Linked DNA regions of Tamandua tetradactyla. The protein of the gene in region 2 interacts with the protein of the main gene of each other region in a pairwise test. Links are inferred from orthologs where the notes say so. Each region holds a gene or a part of one and is shown on either strand. Other genes may lie near its edges.

The links.
Region 1: the proteins of STAC3 (region 2) and EAF1 interact in binary tests that used the Homo sapiens proteins (3 or more experiments, as listed by UniProt). The two-hybrid records come from large-scale screens. The link is inferred for Tamandua tetradactyla from reciprocal best matches to the Homo sapiens genes STAC3 and EAF1.

The regions. Positions count from the first base shown.
Region 1 is NC_135341.1:73,240,611-73,247,708, reverse strand, and holds the start of EAF1 (ELL-associated factor 1), read left to right. Parts: upstream 1-3,996; 5' UTR 3,997-4,148; coding exon 4,149-4,251; intron 4,252-6,130; coding exon 6,131-6,225; intron 6,226-7,098. Other genes in the region: tRNA N(3)-cytidine methyltransferase METTL6, read right to left, coding at 1,730-1,864, 2,600-2,824. UniProt on the Homo sapiens protein: Acts as a transcriptional transactivator of ELL and ELL2 elongation activities.
Region 2 is NC_135333.1:124,433,969-124,441,964, reverse strand, and holds the start of STAC3 (SH3 and cysteine-rich domain-containing protein 3), read left to right. Parts: upstream 1-4,894; 5' UTR 4,895-6,861; intron 6,862-7,597; 5' UTR 7,598-7,598; coding exon 7,599-7,664; intron 7,665-7,923; coding exon 7,924-7,996. Other genes in the region: R3HDM2 (R3H domain-containing protein 2), read left to right, coding at 570-739, 1,156-1,303, 2,226-2,323, 2,772-2,856, 3,765-4,105. UniProt on the Homo sapiens protein: Required for normal excitation-contraction coupling in skeletal muscle and for normal muscle contraction in response to membrane depolarization. Required for normal Ca(2+) release from the sarcplasmic reticulum, which ultimately leads to muscle contraction.

The DNA of each region.
Region 1 (7,098 bases), on a different chromosome or scaffold from region 2:
AGTCTCTACTGCCCACAGTAAAAAATAAATCCCAACACTGGTAACTATAACAACAACGAGCTTCAAATACAGCCCAACTCCAGATGAGAATATAACAAATCCTTATTACTTCAGTGTCTATCACCCATGTCTGGCTTTGAACAGAGAAGTAGAAGGCATGCCAAAAGGCAAGAAAAAAACACAGACTGAAGATACAAAGCAATCATCAGAACCAGACTCAGATATGACAGAGATAGTGGAACTATTAGACTGGGCATTTAAAATAACTATGATTAAAGTTAAACTTTAATAGAAAAGGTAGTCAGCATGCATGATCAAATAGATAAAAGCTATCAGAAAGATAAGAGATGGAAGCTAGGAGAAGGAGTAAATGAAAATTCTAGAAAGAGTAACAGAAATGAAGAATGCCTTCAAAAGGCTCATCAGTGGACCCGACTACACAGGACAGACAGAGGATAACAGAAATTATACAAACTGAAAATACAAAGAGAAAAAAGTGAAACAAACAGAATGGAGCATCCAAGGCTTGTGGGGCAATATTAGATGGTATAACACATATGTAACTGAAATCCCAGAAGGAAGAGAAACAGAGAATGGGAGCTGAAGAAAAATAATGGTCGAAAATTTTCAAGATTAATTATAAAACATAATAACCAAAATTACAAAAATATATAGGTGTTTATATTTAAATTTGGGGAATAAAGAACTCTTAAACAAGGTGAAAAACCTTAGCACCTCAAAAAAAAAAAAAGAAGAAACGTGACAGTACAAAGTCTGTGTAAGAAAAAAGATACCATAAACAATGCTGAAAAACAATGGATAAATTGGAAGAAAATGTTTGCATGTAAATAACAGAAACAATAATATCCAGAATATATCCTAAAAACAAGGAAGAAAATGACAACACAGTAGAAAAACTGGCAAAGGTTATGAACAGATTTCTACTATAATACAAGCCTCATATCAGCACAGGGGGTGATGTTTCATCTGGTTTGTTCTCTAATTAACCCCAGTAATTGGCACATATCAGGCTTTCAGTAAATATATACTGAATAAAGGAATTCACATCAGAAGAAAAACTAATGCTTATCTACATTATCAAGGTCTTCAACCTCACTGGTAATTAGAGAAAAACAAATTAAAATATGGAACAGATACAAGGAATGAGAGATCGCTATGTAACAGGAGGAAAACCAAGGAACCCCAAGGACTGCAGCAAGAAAGCACCAGAACGCTACAGGAGAAAGCATTTCATTGTTCATGCCTTAATTATGGATTTTTAACCCCTGAAACTGTGAATCAATAAATTCCTGCTGTTAAGCCAACCCACTGTATGGTATTTGTCACAGTAGCCTGGCAAACTGATATGAAAAGCACACTGTGGTCGTGTCAAAAAAATTCCTTTTTCTCTGGAGATGTACACTGACATATTTAGGAGTGAAGTGTTTTGACATCTGTAATTTGCTTTAAAGTGGTTCAGCAAAGGAAAAAATCTACAGACGAAGTAAATGTGGCAAACTGCTTATAATCATTAAATCTGAGAAAAAGTATACAGTGTCTTTTTTTCTATTTTTCTAAATAAAGTTGTGTTTCTAATGAAAACTATAGTTAATAGTGATAATAGCTGGTTAGGTCTGGGGAGTGGACTGGAATTAGGCAAATGAATACAGAGAGCTGATCACACAAGCCTAAGAAAACAAACATAACAATACAAGGATGGTGCACCAACCTTAACATATTCAACTGCTCTTGGAGAAAAATCACAGGCATAAGCAAAGATATTCAGATCTTCTTCTAAAAGTGGGAATAAACAGTTCCCAACTCCACAGCCAGCTTCAAGCATAGTCAATTTTTGATCGTTGAACTAGGGAAAGAGAACTCAAAGATACAGCACATTACATTCGCACAAGGAAGAAAAATGAGAAGGTTCAGAACATAAGAGACAAGGTCTCTGTCCCCATGACGTGGGCAAGTGAACAAATGCCCAAAAGCTAATAAAGGTACCTCATTTGTTGTTCAACTATTCAAGTACTGGGTATTTTGTTGTGGAGGAAAAAAAAGTGCTTAATGGCTGAAAGAACAAGTTCTGGAACTAAATAACCTGCCTGCATTCAAATCCCAACTCCTCTACTCATCCTCATGTCCTATCCCTTGGGCAAATCAAACAGCTTTGTGCCTCAATTTCATCTGCAAGTGGGGATAATAAACATAACACTATTTCATGGAGTTATCATAAGGCATAAATTAGAAAATCTGTAAAATTCTTAGAAAAGGGCTATGATGAGTGTTCCTTAACAATGACTATTAATATTGTTACTCTGTCACTGAAGTCAGTCAGTATAAATTTAATGTTTACAACTTGCAGATTAACTTTAAATAGAAAACGGCTACTGCACTTACCTCCTCTATGCATTACACATCCCGAAAACTAATGAAACCCCTTGTGAGATTAAACACTCTATTTCTCTCCCAAGGTACAAAGCATTTTAATAGGCTTCATAAACTCTCTACTCCCCAATCCTCAGGGAATGCAATAAAGCACTCCTCTCTACAAATTTTAAATGTAGAATGGCCCATATAAGGTGCAAAATTAGCTTACCTCCCTACATGATCTTAGCTCCTTAAACTCTCTGGAAGTCCAGTGTCTATCTTTGAAGAAATTGGTACTATTTCTTTTGTAAAAAAGATCCCAGTTCTTCTGAGCCTCTTTTTCCAGCTTTTGCTGTTTAAAATCAGACACCAAAGCTTGATCTCTTTTCAATTTCTCCTCTTCTTCAGAGCTGAGAATCCTTGCCTGTAGCCCTTTTCTTTGCAAAGAAGCCATCTCATTAAGTTGACCACAATGTGCTTCACACTGCTGAAAATTCTCCACCCCTGTTTAACCGGAAGAATCCATAATATTGCAGAGGCAGGATTTTCTCAGATGAGTTTCCCTATGCCAGGTTCGCCTGCGCCTCAGGAAGCACCAGGGACTTCTAAAGAAAAAAGAATGCGAGTCTAGCTAATGATTCTAGAACAGTTCTTTAAGATGCTGCAACCAATTCATCAAACATTTACTAGATGCTCATTCTACAGAAAACTCTGCTACGAAAGGTCACAAAGAAGACCAAGATATACTTCTTGCCCTCAAACGGCTTACCATCCAGTGGCCAGGCCTGGCTTATGCACCGAACTCTAATTCAAGACAAAATGAGTCAATTTTTACAATAAATTTATATAGTTGTGAAAAAGGACACTCTCAAGATCTGAATACAAAACCTTGGGGGAAAATGCTCATCAATTTTCAGGGCCTGTGAAGGGAATAACTTAACAACAACGAAAGCTGAACAGGAGGCGGTGGTGGGTTGCCAGATAGAAGTAGGATCATCGTTTCCCAAGGTCTGCAGGATCAAGACTCCGTTTTGCTCGGTGACATCGAGATAAGCCCGGGTGGTCCGAGTCTCTAAGTCTCAGATCCCACTCACACGAGACTGTCGTACGAACCAGAGGGGGCGTCGTTTTTCAGAAACTGAAGCTCCCACACCCCTTCACGGCACGAAGGGGAAGAAGATACCCAGTTATGCGTAGCAGAGGGTCCTGAGTACACAGGTCTCCCAGGACATTCTGAATGAACTGAGCCCACTTGCGGACATCTAGGGCTGCAGAGAGCTGGCCATGTTAGCTATCCGACCCGGACTAATTTAGTCGTGCGCTCTAGGCCCACCCTCAGCATTTCTAGGTTCATCTGTTGACCCAGGGCCTGACACACTCACCCCTCAGCCAGCACCAGCGCTCGGAGGCGAACTTTAGGAGCCGCCACAGGAAAACCCGAGCTGGGTCAAGACAGACTTGCGGACCTCGATTTGGGATTCTAAGGCCGGAGTTATTTCGCCATGAAACCTCGCCCGCTACATCCGCCGCGAACCCTTAAGTCCCTCCCCGACACCGGAAATCCCTCAGTCTCGCTTCGTCCGAGTCTCCCCCTACCCCGACGCAGAGGCGGAAACTTCGTTCCAGTCACCGGTGGGGTCCGGCTCGGCTGTCGGTGCGCCCCGGAGCGGTGTTCAGTGAGCACCGCTCTCCCGGACCCCGGCGCCGGAAGCTCGCGCAGCTTTCCCAGCTCCCGCGCCTGGAGAGCGCCGAGCCGGGCGCACCGCCCGTACGGGGCCATGAACGGGACCGCGAACCCGCTGCTGGACCGCGAGGAGCACTGCCTACGGCTCGGGGAGAGCTTCGAAAAGCGACCGCGGGCCTCGTTCCACACCATTCGCTGTAAGTCAGTGTTTCCCAGGGTTACCTAACTAGCCTCAGCACCCCCTCTGGCTTCGCTTGGCTTCCCGAACCTTAGGGAAGCCCCTGCCGACTCCCATCGGCAGCTCCCGATCACTCTTACTCTGAATCCTCCGAGATATCGTCTTCTTTCCTTTTCTCAGGTCACTCCTCCCAAACCGAAGCTTTTGTCACTCCCAACAATTTTTCTCTTGATAGAACCTATTTTTCGAAGGTCATTGGTCCCTCTTTCTTTGCATCCCACCACCCTAATTCTTTAGCCCAGACTCCCCCCCGCCTTTTTATTCCCGAAAGGCTGTGACCCCCTACATCAGACCCCAGTTCTTCTCTAATTCCATCCCGCCTCCCACTTCCTGATGCTTCCACCAGGGTTCTCCACGTTTGAAGGACTCTTCACATTTGTTTATAAGCCTCATCCGCTTCCTCGCACGCCGTTCTCGTCCCCCTTCCCCCCCCCCCCCCCAGCTTTCTTTCCTGGTTTGTCTTGGTTCTAGCGATCCTGGCACTGCTCATCCTCACTTCACCAGCCAGAGGATACTCCTGTCCGCCATCAGCGTCCTCCTCCAGCTTTTCGCACCTCGTTTGACTTTGCTGTCTTTTGAGGTCACCTCTGCTACCCTTACTGTTCCTCTAGACCTCCCCCCCCGCCGTGTGGATGAAGAATAAAATTAGAGTTTGTGAACCTGGGATAGGTTAAAGCTTGGTGGTGGGAAAGCAAAAGAGAGCATAGGCGTAAGAAATGTCAAAGTAGTCATTATGCTGGGCCTTTTTTCCCTACATGATTATAGACTCTGTTGAGGGAGAGGCATTTCCACTCTATATCCTTGGGTAGAGAATTAGCTGTTAGAAATTGGCTGACAGAGCGTCCTGCTGTGATTCACAAGCTCCTGGCTGCCCATCCTGGTAGTGCTAACACTTGTTAAGTCTTGTTTTTGTCAGAGGAACTAATAGATGTGACTCAACATGTAGGAAGAGGGCGGGTTAGATAATGAAGTTCCGTCTTTGTATGGTCACTTGCTATGCCATTACTGTGCTTTCTGAGAGCAGATATAGCTCTTTCCGAGGAGAGATATCAAGAATGTGACAAGGACATCAGTTCCTGAACACTACTTGGTTGATGTTTCTGTGGAGTGAGAAGGACAATGTGAAATTTAAATGAGACGATTTCCTTATGCACCTGGCCACGTTTGGGGCAGGATATACTAACAAGGTGCAAGATGGCTATTCATGTTATACTTTGCATTCCAGAAATATGGGCAGGGTAACCTTTGGAGATACAGTTCAGCCATCTGCTCTGAACATCTGTGGGAGTATGTTTGTCAAAGCTATGGAATTTAAGTATGGCAAGTCCTAATTTTGACAATTCCTCTGCAAGATGAAGTCTGCTTGTATGATGCTGTGGCCATTCATGTTTTCTGTTGGGCTTTGCAGGCAGAGTCTTTTTGCTCTATTGCCTTTGATCCTCATAACAACCCTAATAAAACATCTTACTGTGGATACTGCAGCATTAATTTCCATCTGTTACTTAGGTGAAGGGAATTTCTTTGCTTAATAAAGTGGCATTTAAATTCTAGTTTTTTTCAAAATAGTCCAGTGGGAATAGGAGGAAAAGTATGTAAAGGCATAGGTGAAAAATGATTGTCCCTTGTTGATAATTATTGAAGCTGGTACATGGAGTTCATTGTACTCTTCTCTTTATTTTTAAATTATGTGAAGTTTTCCATAATGAAATAATCCTAAATATGTTCTAAAGTATTTGTATTTGCCATTTATCTGAATAATAAAACATTTTAATTCTTAAATAAGATGCTCTGGAAGCCCTTGTTAGCTGATGGATAAATGCTTTTTCCTTTCCCTTTAGATGATTTTAAGCCAGCATCTATAGACACTTCCTGTGAAGGAGAGCTCCAAGTTGGCAAAGGAGATGAAGTCACAATTACGCTGCCACATATCCCTGTAAGTTTATTCTATTGTTGGTTTTTTTGTAGGCTCACAATGAATTATGTTATTGTAATTTAAGTTTCCTACTGCTTAAAATACTTTAGATTATTTAAGTGTCAACACAAGGAATACAGGAATTTGGGGAATAGATTAGAATTCTTGCTTCCCAAGTGCTTGATTAAAAGTGATTCTTTGCCATTTTCCCCAGAGCTCCTCCTCCACCCCCAATTTAGATGTCATTCCTAAAACCTAGCCACTGTTTTAGACATGCACAACTTTACCCAAGCACCTTTGTAGAGAAGAGCCCTTGGTGCCATGCTGATATACAGCAGCAGCAGTTCAGGGGTGCATGGTATCTAAGCCAGGAGTCATGGCAGTCAGCAGTGAGGCTTTCATCTTTCACATGTCTAGCAGGGGTTCAAGTGCAGTCTGCGAGTCTCAGGCAGGAGCCAGAGGTTCGAAGCATTCCTCTGGCTTTGGAATAAGGAAACCATTAAAAGCTGGATTGAAAACCCTTGTAGACAAAGATCTTTGTGAAGCCCTGCCCAAGACAGTGCTCTGATCCCAAAGCCTGAAGGGTTAGACAAAATACTCTTAATGAACATGTATCATTGCATGTCACAGCCCTGTCCTGGAATACAGGGCTTGGGTAACTAGTGATAGAATGAAAAGGTTCTGAATAGGAAGACCCGGAAAGCTTTGTGCTAAGAAAAAAATCATTTGTTGGCAGTTCAGACTGCTATTTCTTTACTTGTTGCCTTGGACAGGTTACATCATATCCCTTTGGACCTTAGTTTCCCAAATGTAAAATGAAGAGATTGGATAAATGGTCCCTAAGCTCCCTTCCAAATCTGAATTTTTACTGTATGAATAAGTAATCTATCTGCT
Region 2 (7,996 bases):
ATACATCCATGCCATTCTGTCTGCTTGGAATATTCCCCAACTCACCTAACCCTTCCCCAAGAAGTATGTCCTAAGTCTAGCTTAGTGCATATCTGTACATACATGATCTCCAGAACCTCCAGAGATCACTGACTTATTTGTAACCATTAACAGAAAAGCCCACATGTGCCCACAGCCATGGCCCAAGCCCCAGACGGAGGCCTGTGTCTTGCCCAGACATTTGGGCAATCTGTTCTAGGCATTTCGTAATACCAAGCTTTGATAGAATGGAGTCATTTTCTGCCAGGCATACCAAAGTACCCCCACCAGGTGAAAGCAGGAGAGCATTGGCTTCTGGAACTTATCTCCCTCATCCCATTTTCCATTAGTTTAGAGAGAGGAAGTCAGAGTCCAGGAAGGACACAATTTAAATGACCATGAGGCTAGTGGGTGGATTTGCTTACTGCCTTTCCAAAACACTCAGGGCTAGCTGGAAGGCCAAAACAGATTCTCAAGCCAGACACTCAGGGCTAGCTGGAAGGCCAAAACAATTTGGATTTACAACCCACCTCTTTCTCCCTGCTACTCAGGAGTATCACCTTCTGGGCCAGGTGTGGTGGTCATGCAGCTAAATGTCCCTAATGGACCCCAAGCTCCCCAGAACCCATCCATGGTCCAGTGGAGTCACTGTAAATATTACAGCGTGGACCAGCGGGGCCAGAAGCCTGGAGACCTGTACAATCCTGACAGTAACCCTCAGGTGAGTCCTACAGCCCAGCCCTGTTTAGGCAAGGAGGTGGCTAAATTCTTCCTAAGAAACAGTCTTTACCATTGACTGAACAGCCTCTTTTACAAATCTTCCCCTGGGCACTTTTAGGGGAGAAAACACAAGAAATGGAAGAATACGTCCTCTTTCAGGGAACCTCAGATCTAAGGTAGCAGATAGGATACATACTTGAAAATGCCCAGAGAATACTTAAAATGGTGTGTCCAAATGTAGGCGTTAAAATAATATAAATTAATTATGTAGGGAATAAGGGGGCAATTTTAAGTAGCAGTCTGGTTTGTCAGAGTTCAGCAATAAAGACTTATTTCGTGAAGAGGGGGAATTTTAAGCCAAGCATAAGGAGTATTTGTTTTTGATGTTTATGTGATGGGTGCTACTCTCTTCCACAGGCCAACACACAAATGAGCAGCAGCCCCGTCACGTCCCCTACCCAATCCCCAGCACCCTCACCTGTCACCAGCCTCAGCAGTGTCTGCACAGGACTCAGTCCTCTACCTGTCCTCACACAGTTCCCTCGGCCTGGAGGTCCAGCACAGGGTAAGGGATGAGAGATCAGGGCTGACTGCTGTAAAATTCAGCCTTTTCTGGGAGCTAGTTCTTCCTTTGTATCAGGGAACCTCTAAAAACTGTAACGTCCCTGTTTAAGTCAAGAACACCCACCTCTTTCTAGTGCTGCCCATATTCCTTTATGTACTTAGTTGGAATCACCAAGTAGGTGACTGGTACTGTGGGCTAAGGGGAAGAAATTCATTGAACTTTCTAGTGAACCCAAGAGTTTAACCAGTCAGTACTGAGTCTGAAGGCTAGAAAAGTGGGGTTGTGTCAAACACAGTAGAATTTTAGAAGAGGGAACACAAGATTTGGGTTGAAAGACTTGGGTTCAAGTATTCGTTCCACCACTAACTCACTAGCTTTGTGATGCTGGATGTGTTACTTTAACTTGGAAAAAAACCTCAGTTTCCTGATCTATAAGATGGGGTTCATCACACATAAGATAGGAATCTTAACTGCTTTCTGACCTGGCTGTCACATGCAGTATAAAAACAAGATGAGACTATGGTTTAAAAAGTTAAAAATGCTCGTTTGTATTGGCTCTTACATGTGTCAGAAGATCGACCCCTGGCTTTTGAGGTGGGGAGAATCTGTATGAGATAAAAAACATTTGTAAGGGTCTTTAGTTTCCTCCCTGGTCATTTCATCAAGGCTTTTGTCTACCAAGTAAAGGTGAGGGGATGTAATAGCCCCATTTGTCTACAAGATACAGCTGAGAGCCAGGAAGATTAGGAAGAGAGACAACTCTAAAATCAGTCTCACGGGCACTCCTGTCACAGAAAATATAGGAATAGTATGTATTGTTGCTATCCATTTTCAAAGCCGACCCCATCCCATCCCCAAAGTCTCCTAAAAGTCATACCACAAAGCTCAAGCTCCCAGAAAACCATCTGCTCTTACTGCCTAGGTGATGGGCGGTACTCCCTCTTGGGCCAGCCATTACAGTACAATCTGTCCATCTGCCCTCCCTTGCTCCATGGCCAGTCGACTTATACAGTGCACCAGGTAAGGGTGTCTACCATCCCCTCCTACGTAGCCTTCAGGCCATCAGATTACCCCCTACACACACACACACACTCACTCACTCACTCACTCACTCACTCACTCTCTCTCTCTCTCTCTCATACACTCTCATCTACTCTCATCTGGTCCCCTATCTCTGAGCCATCCACCTTTTCCAGTTCAGAAGACAATGGAAACAACACAGGGAAAATGGAATAAGTGGGAGGGGCTGAAGGCCTTACCCCACTCCTGTACTCATTTCTTCCACCCACCCCAATGCCAAGAGGGAGGGGCTCTCTGCTTCTCAGTGACCATGCCTGGGCATCTGATTGCCTGGAAAGGTGTGATCCTCAGGACTGGGTGCTATTACTCAATCTCTCAGGCAGGAGTTGCAATAGAAGGCAGTTAGTGTTGTTAATCCAAAATGAGAATAGTCTTTTGATTGTTGAAGGGACAGAGTGGATTGAAGCATGGAAGCCGGGGCAAGAGACAAGCACTCAAATCTGCTTCCACTGACCTGGGGACAGCAGATGTTGGTGAGTGATAAAATCCTAAATCCCTGTAAGAAGGTGCCTACCACAAGCCTGCGTTACCAGCCAAGGATGGGAGGGAAAAGCCAGCTTAGGGTGGAAAATGAAAGTGGGAACCATTTGTGCTCAAGAGCAGGGAGAAGAGGGAAAAGTGGAATGTCTCAGTCTTCCCTACCAAACCATCCCAGATTCTTGGGAAGATAGTGGTAAAAATTGGAAATAACACAGTAATGGAGTCACTGAGTCTGTTAGCTGAGAGTCTTCTGGGAGCAGGCCTCACCTGAATATAAGACCTCTACCTTTGGTAGTATTTAGGAGGAGTCTCAGAGATTGTGGGGGAGTAATCCTCCTCCTGCAGGCATTCCACACTAGCCATACAAGATCTCTCAGGATTTCCCCCAGTTGGAACAGTTTGATAAACAAGGAAAGAAAAAAGGAAATTAACTTCCCTAGATGATAAGAAAGAAGATTTTATTTGGGCCAGCCTCTGAGTAGGAAGGGAACTGTGGACATACTTGAGATTGATTCATTGATTTTGTTAAAGCACATCAGCAAAACCCACCCTTCCTTTATAGCAATGGTACCCTGTGAGAGAACTGATTTATAGGTCCCCAGACCATCAACCTGGGATTCTGATTCCCAGACCTTCCTTTTTGCCTACATTTCTAGGCTATGCCAAGAGAAAGGTTCATCTTTTTCTCCTAGTTGCCCTAATCAGAGTCTGGATGGTGGGGAATTGGGTTGATTTGGAGAGGGGAGAAGATAGCAAAGAGGGAATGGCTAGGTTTTTGAGGACCTTGTATACAGACTTGTCAGTTGGATACTTCTCTCCCTTGCCACTGACCAGTTCTCCACCCCCCTGCCACTCCCCATCTTCGGCTCTTACCACTATATTCTCTCTCCTCCCCTTCCAGTCCTGGGGCGGGTGCTGGAGGTGACAGATCTCCCTGAGGGCATCACCCGCACCGAGGCTGACAAACTCTTCACTCAGCTCGCCCTGTCTGGCGCCAAGATCCAGTGGCTCAAGGATGCTCAGGGGCTGCCTGGCGGGGGCGGAGGGGACAACGGTGGGACTGCTGAGAACGGCCGCCATGCGGACCTCGCTGCCTTGTACACCATAGTGGCTGTGTTCCCCAGCCCCCTGGCTGCCCAGAATGCCTCCCTTCGCCTCAACAACTCCGTGAGTCGCTTCAAACTTCGAGTGGCCAAAAAGAACTATGACCTGAGGATCCTGGAGCGAGCCAGCTCCCAATAAGTGAAGGAGGGAAAAGGACTGGCACAGTAGGGGTGGGGACGAGGTGAAAGAGGGTCGAGGGATCCAGATAGACCACTGACAGGTAGAAAACAGGGAGACAGACGCTGAACTGGAACCTAAGACAGTAAGAATAAACGTGGAAGCAAACACTCACACTGGCACTGGACTCCTCACTCCCCTGCCGTCATCCCTTTTCTGTCCCACTTGGCTCCTCTCTGCTTCCCTCTCCTTCCCATCCTCTTCTATCATTTTTTATCTCTCTTCCCACCACAAAATTAATTTTTTTCATATTCTTTGGCCAGGTAGAATTGGGAAGGTCCACAATCCCGTATTCTATTTCCTTACTATCCTAAGCTCCCTTTTATTTTTTGGTCGTTACGAATATATTTATATGGGCAGAATTAAGAAAAACAATATTGATTTCTCCTTCCTCTCACTTCCCTCATCTTGTCTCCCAAACCCCACAGAGTTAAAACTTGGGCCCCCCTCACCCCCCAGAACACTTGTATATTGTTTGAAGTTTGTGCCGCAGTAACAGACACAGTATTTAATTGCACATACAGATGTTTGCTGGGTATATTCACTGTAAATTTTATTTAATCTGGTTTTTTGTTTGTGGGGGGGTTACTTGGGGGGAGGTTGATTTTGTTTTTAAATATAAAAAAAAATCTTCTGTCACTGGACATCAGTCCTCGTTTCTGTGTTGCCGCCCTGGTGTGGGTGGGGGTTGGGAGGGTTTGTTGTGGGTTGGGATGGATTTCCCCTAGCATATGCACATTTATCTTCCTAGCACCATTCCCTCTCTCCGATCCTCCTTCCTGCCCATAATTCTGATGGGTGGTTCTGGGTTTTTCCAATTCTGCCACTAACTGTGGTTCATCAAGCACATCACCTTCTCAACTCTGGATCTCTGTGTCCTTATTAATAAAATAAGAGACTTGGACTGACTAGGTGACCTCCAAGGTTCTTGTCAGCCTGTTAATTCCGTGGTATTCATTTAGGGCCCTTGTGGCTGAGCTAGGGAGGAATAAGGTCTAGAAATGGGTTGAAATGCTGATCTCAAAGCCCATCATCTAGTCTTCTGAAAACCTTCAAGCGATGGGCCTTTCTTTAATCCTAAAACTAGAGGATTGAGCTCTACTTGGCAAGAATGGAAGTGGGTGTTTTACAATAAAAGCTATATTATCTGAACTTACTGTGCCAAGATGCTAGATTTATGCAGGCATACTCAGCTGTCCCTGTCCTTTGCAGATGAAGAAAGTTCAAGAAAAGCAGAGGTCACCTGCCTGCAAGATGGACGTTTTCTATATCTGAGGCATCTCAAAGTTAGCCCTGTTTTTCTGCAGCCTGTTAAACAGGGCCCATTAAGGAGCCTGTAGAGTCAAACCAATAGAACCCTGCCATCCAGTGGCCCCCTTTCAATCTCACCCCACCCCCTTAGGAAAAAGAGCAGTGGGTAGAAACGGCAGAGCATATTGCCCTGGAAAATGTTGGATCTGGGTGACTGTATCTCTAGCCAAGCTCTGAAGCTTGTCTGACCCTACCTCCAACCTAATCCTTTATTTCTTAACAGACACAAGGGATAGTGCAGCACTACATTACCATGTCTAAATTGCTCTCCTCTGAGATGGGGGTTATCTTTTTCCAGCCATGTCACAACCCAAAGAATAGCAGAAAGCTGCATCCCTGTGAGAAAAGAATGCAAGCTATCGTACTGATCCATCAGTTCATATACTTGGGCATCACAGGAAGGAGGTGCATCAAGGAATGAAAATTATTTAGGAAGTGTGAAGTTCAACCATCCTACCTGCAAGAATTTGCAGTTCTCCTGAGGAAAGGAACATTATTTACAGATGATAAAAATTCCCTATGCAGCAGCTGTAAGCTTCTGGCCAGTGTTAACTGAACTATCTCTACCTGGTCATTAGGCCCTCACTCCCGCAAAATCTCTCAGATGGAAGTCTTAAGCCCTTACAATTCACTATCCTGAGGACAAGATTTGGAGATGTGTGGAAAGATCAAGGGAACAAGCAGTAATACAGATTCCTCACTCCTTTACAGGACAGAAGCAAGGCCACCCCTCTTAAACCCACAGTTAATAAAACATTCTAGTCTGGTTGATAGGAGAGCGCTTTCCTATCTTCACCAGTCCCCAGTCCTTTCCATCCTCAAGTTTAAGGTTAGATTGATGCTTGAGGTTATACAAACACATAAGTCACAAGAAGATAAAGGCTGAGAGGCTGAAGTCTGTAGTCCTTAAAGTAGGTACAGAGAGGGCAGAATTGGGGAAGTTTTTGAACCTTGGAGGTAAGGGATGGAGAAATGTTTTATAATTTATCTTTACTTCACCTTTAGTCCTCCAAAATCCATTCAAATGGGTGTACAGCCTGAACCAAAACCATTCCTTACTGAATTTACTACTGGCCTGCCCACCATAGATGAAGAATCAGGAAACGGGAGCTTTGGGGGACGGGAGGGCTAGGGTACAGCCCTGCCCCAGTCCTCCCCGTGTCCAATTTCTCTGTGTCAGCTGTGTTGCTCAGCTGTCCACTTTCCTCCAGCCCTGTCATTTCAACTCTGACACCAAAGGGAGAGGCTAGGAGGTCTACATATACCAACTGGTAGCCGGTGTGAGTACAGAGGGTACTGGGGGGGCTCAGCCCCCAGGGAAGAGGACCGATCCTCCCCCCAGCACCACCACCAAGGCCCCAGGGGCTCCTACTTCCCTCCTCAGGCTGACTTAGGGAATCCCAAACGTAAGTTGCCTCTTCATCCTCTTTCCATTTCTAGGACTGCTCACCCCAGCTGTCCCAATCCTTAGTCTATTCATCTTCTTCATTTCTACTTATCTCCAAGTATTTTAGGAGTGAAGTTATTACCTTACTCCAGGAAGAGAGCTAGGATTGGGGGAGGCGGTGGCAGGTTGGGGAGTGGGGGTTGGGCCAAGGGGATGGAGCAATAGGGAGGGAAAGGCTCATATTACTTTGAAAACTTAAAATAGCTAAGGCCTGTGGCAGGCTGAGATCAACTAGGCGAGAGGCCCCCAGGGCTTAAAGGAGGAGGTAGGAGGGAACAAATGTCTCCAGCCCATTCCTCCATGCATGCATGTGGATGCAGGCATGAAACCTCTTGAAGAGAAGGGGCCCAGGAAGGCATGTCAAATCTCTCTTGCCCACAACCTCCCAAAAGAAAGTGCCTGTAGGAAAATTCCCAAACCATGTAGCTTTGAGCACTGTGTTGAGGCTATAAACTCTGGGGCTGCCCCTCAGGGTAGAAGGTTGGATATCGGTTTAAGGAACAGGTTGGAAAATTCTTTCGTCTGTCTGGATCTCCATGGAGTCTTTCTGTTCATAAGCCCTAGGAAAGAATCTCTAAGCAGATTTCTTCTGAGGCCTCTTCTTCAAGGACAACCCTACTGCTAAGGACAGGAATAAGGAAGGAAAGAATGGCAGTTAGGGATTAGAGTTCATAGTGGGGTCCAACCTCTTGCAGGATGACAGAAAAGGAGGTGCTGGAGCCCCCTAATCCCTCCTTCCCAGCAGAGACTCGTCAAAGTGGGGTGAGTCTGGGCATCTGACCATTGGGTGTGGGAAGGTGGGAAACCATTACAGCCCTTTAAAAAAAGTGCCTGAATTGTTCTTATTTTTATGTGACTCATTTAGAATGCCAGCCAGCACCTACAGCCCCAGTATCCCTTAATCTTGGGGTGTAACCCAGGTCTCCAGCATGGCAGGCGAGAACTCTGCCGCTGAGCCGCCATGGCCTGCCCGATGACAATCCTTTAACATTGGATTTCCTTCACTCCTTCCCTCCCTCAGCTACAGCGGCTGAAGCAGTTGTTCAGGAAGGGGTCTACAGGGACAAAGGACATGGAGCTTCCTCCAGAGCCCC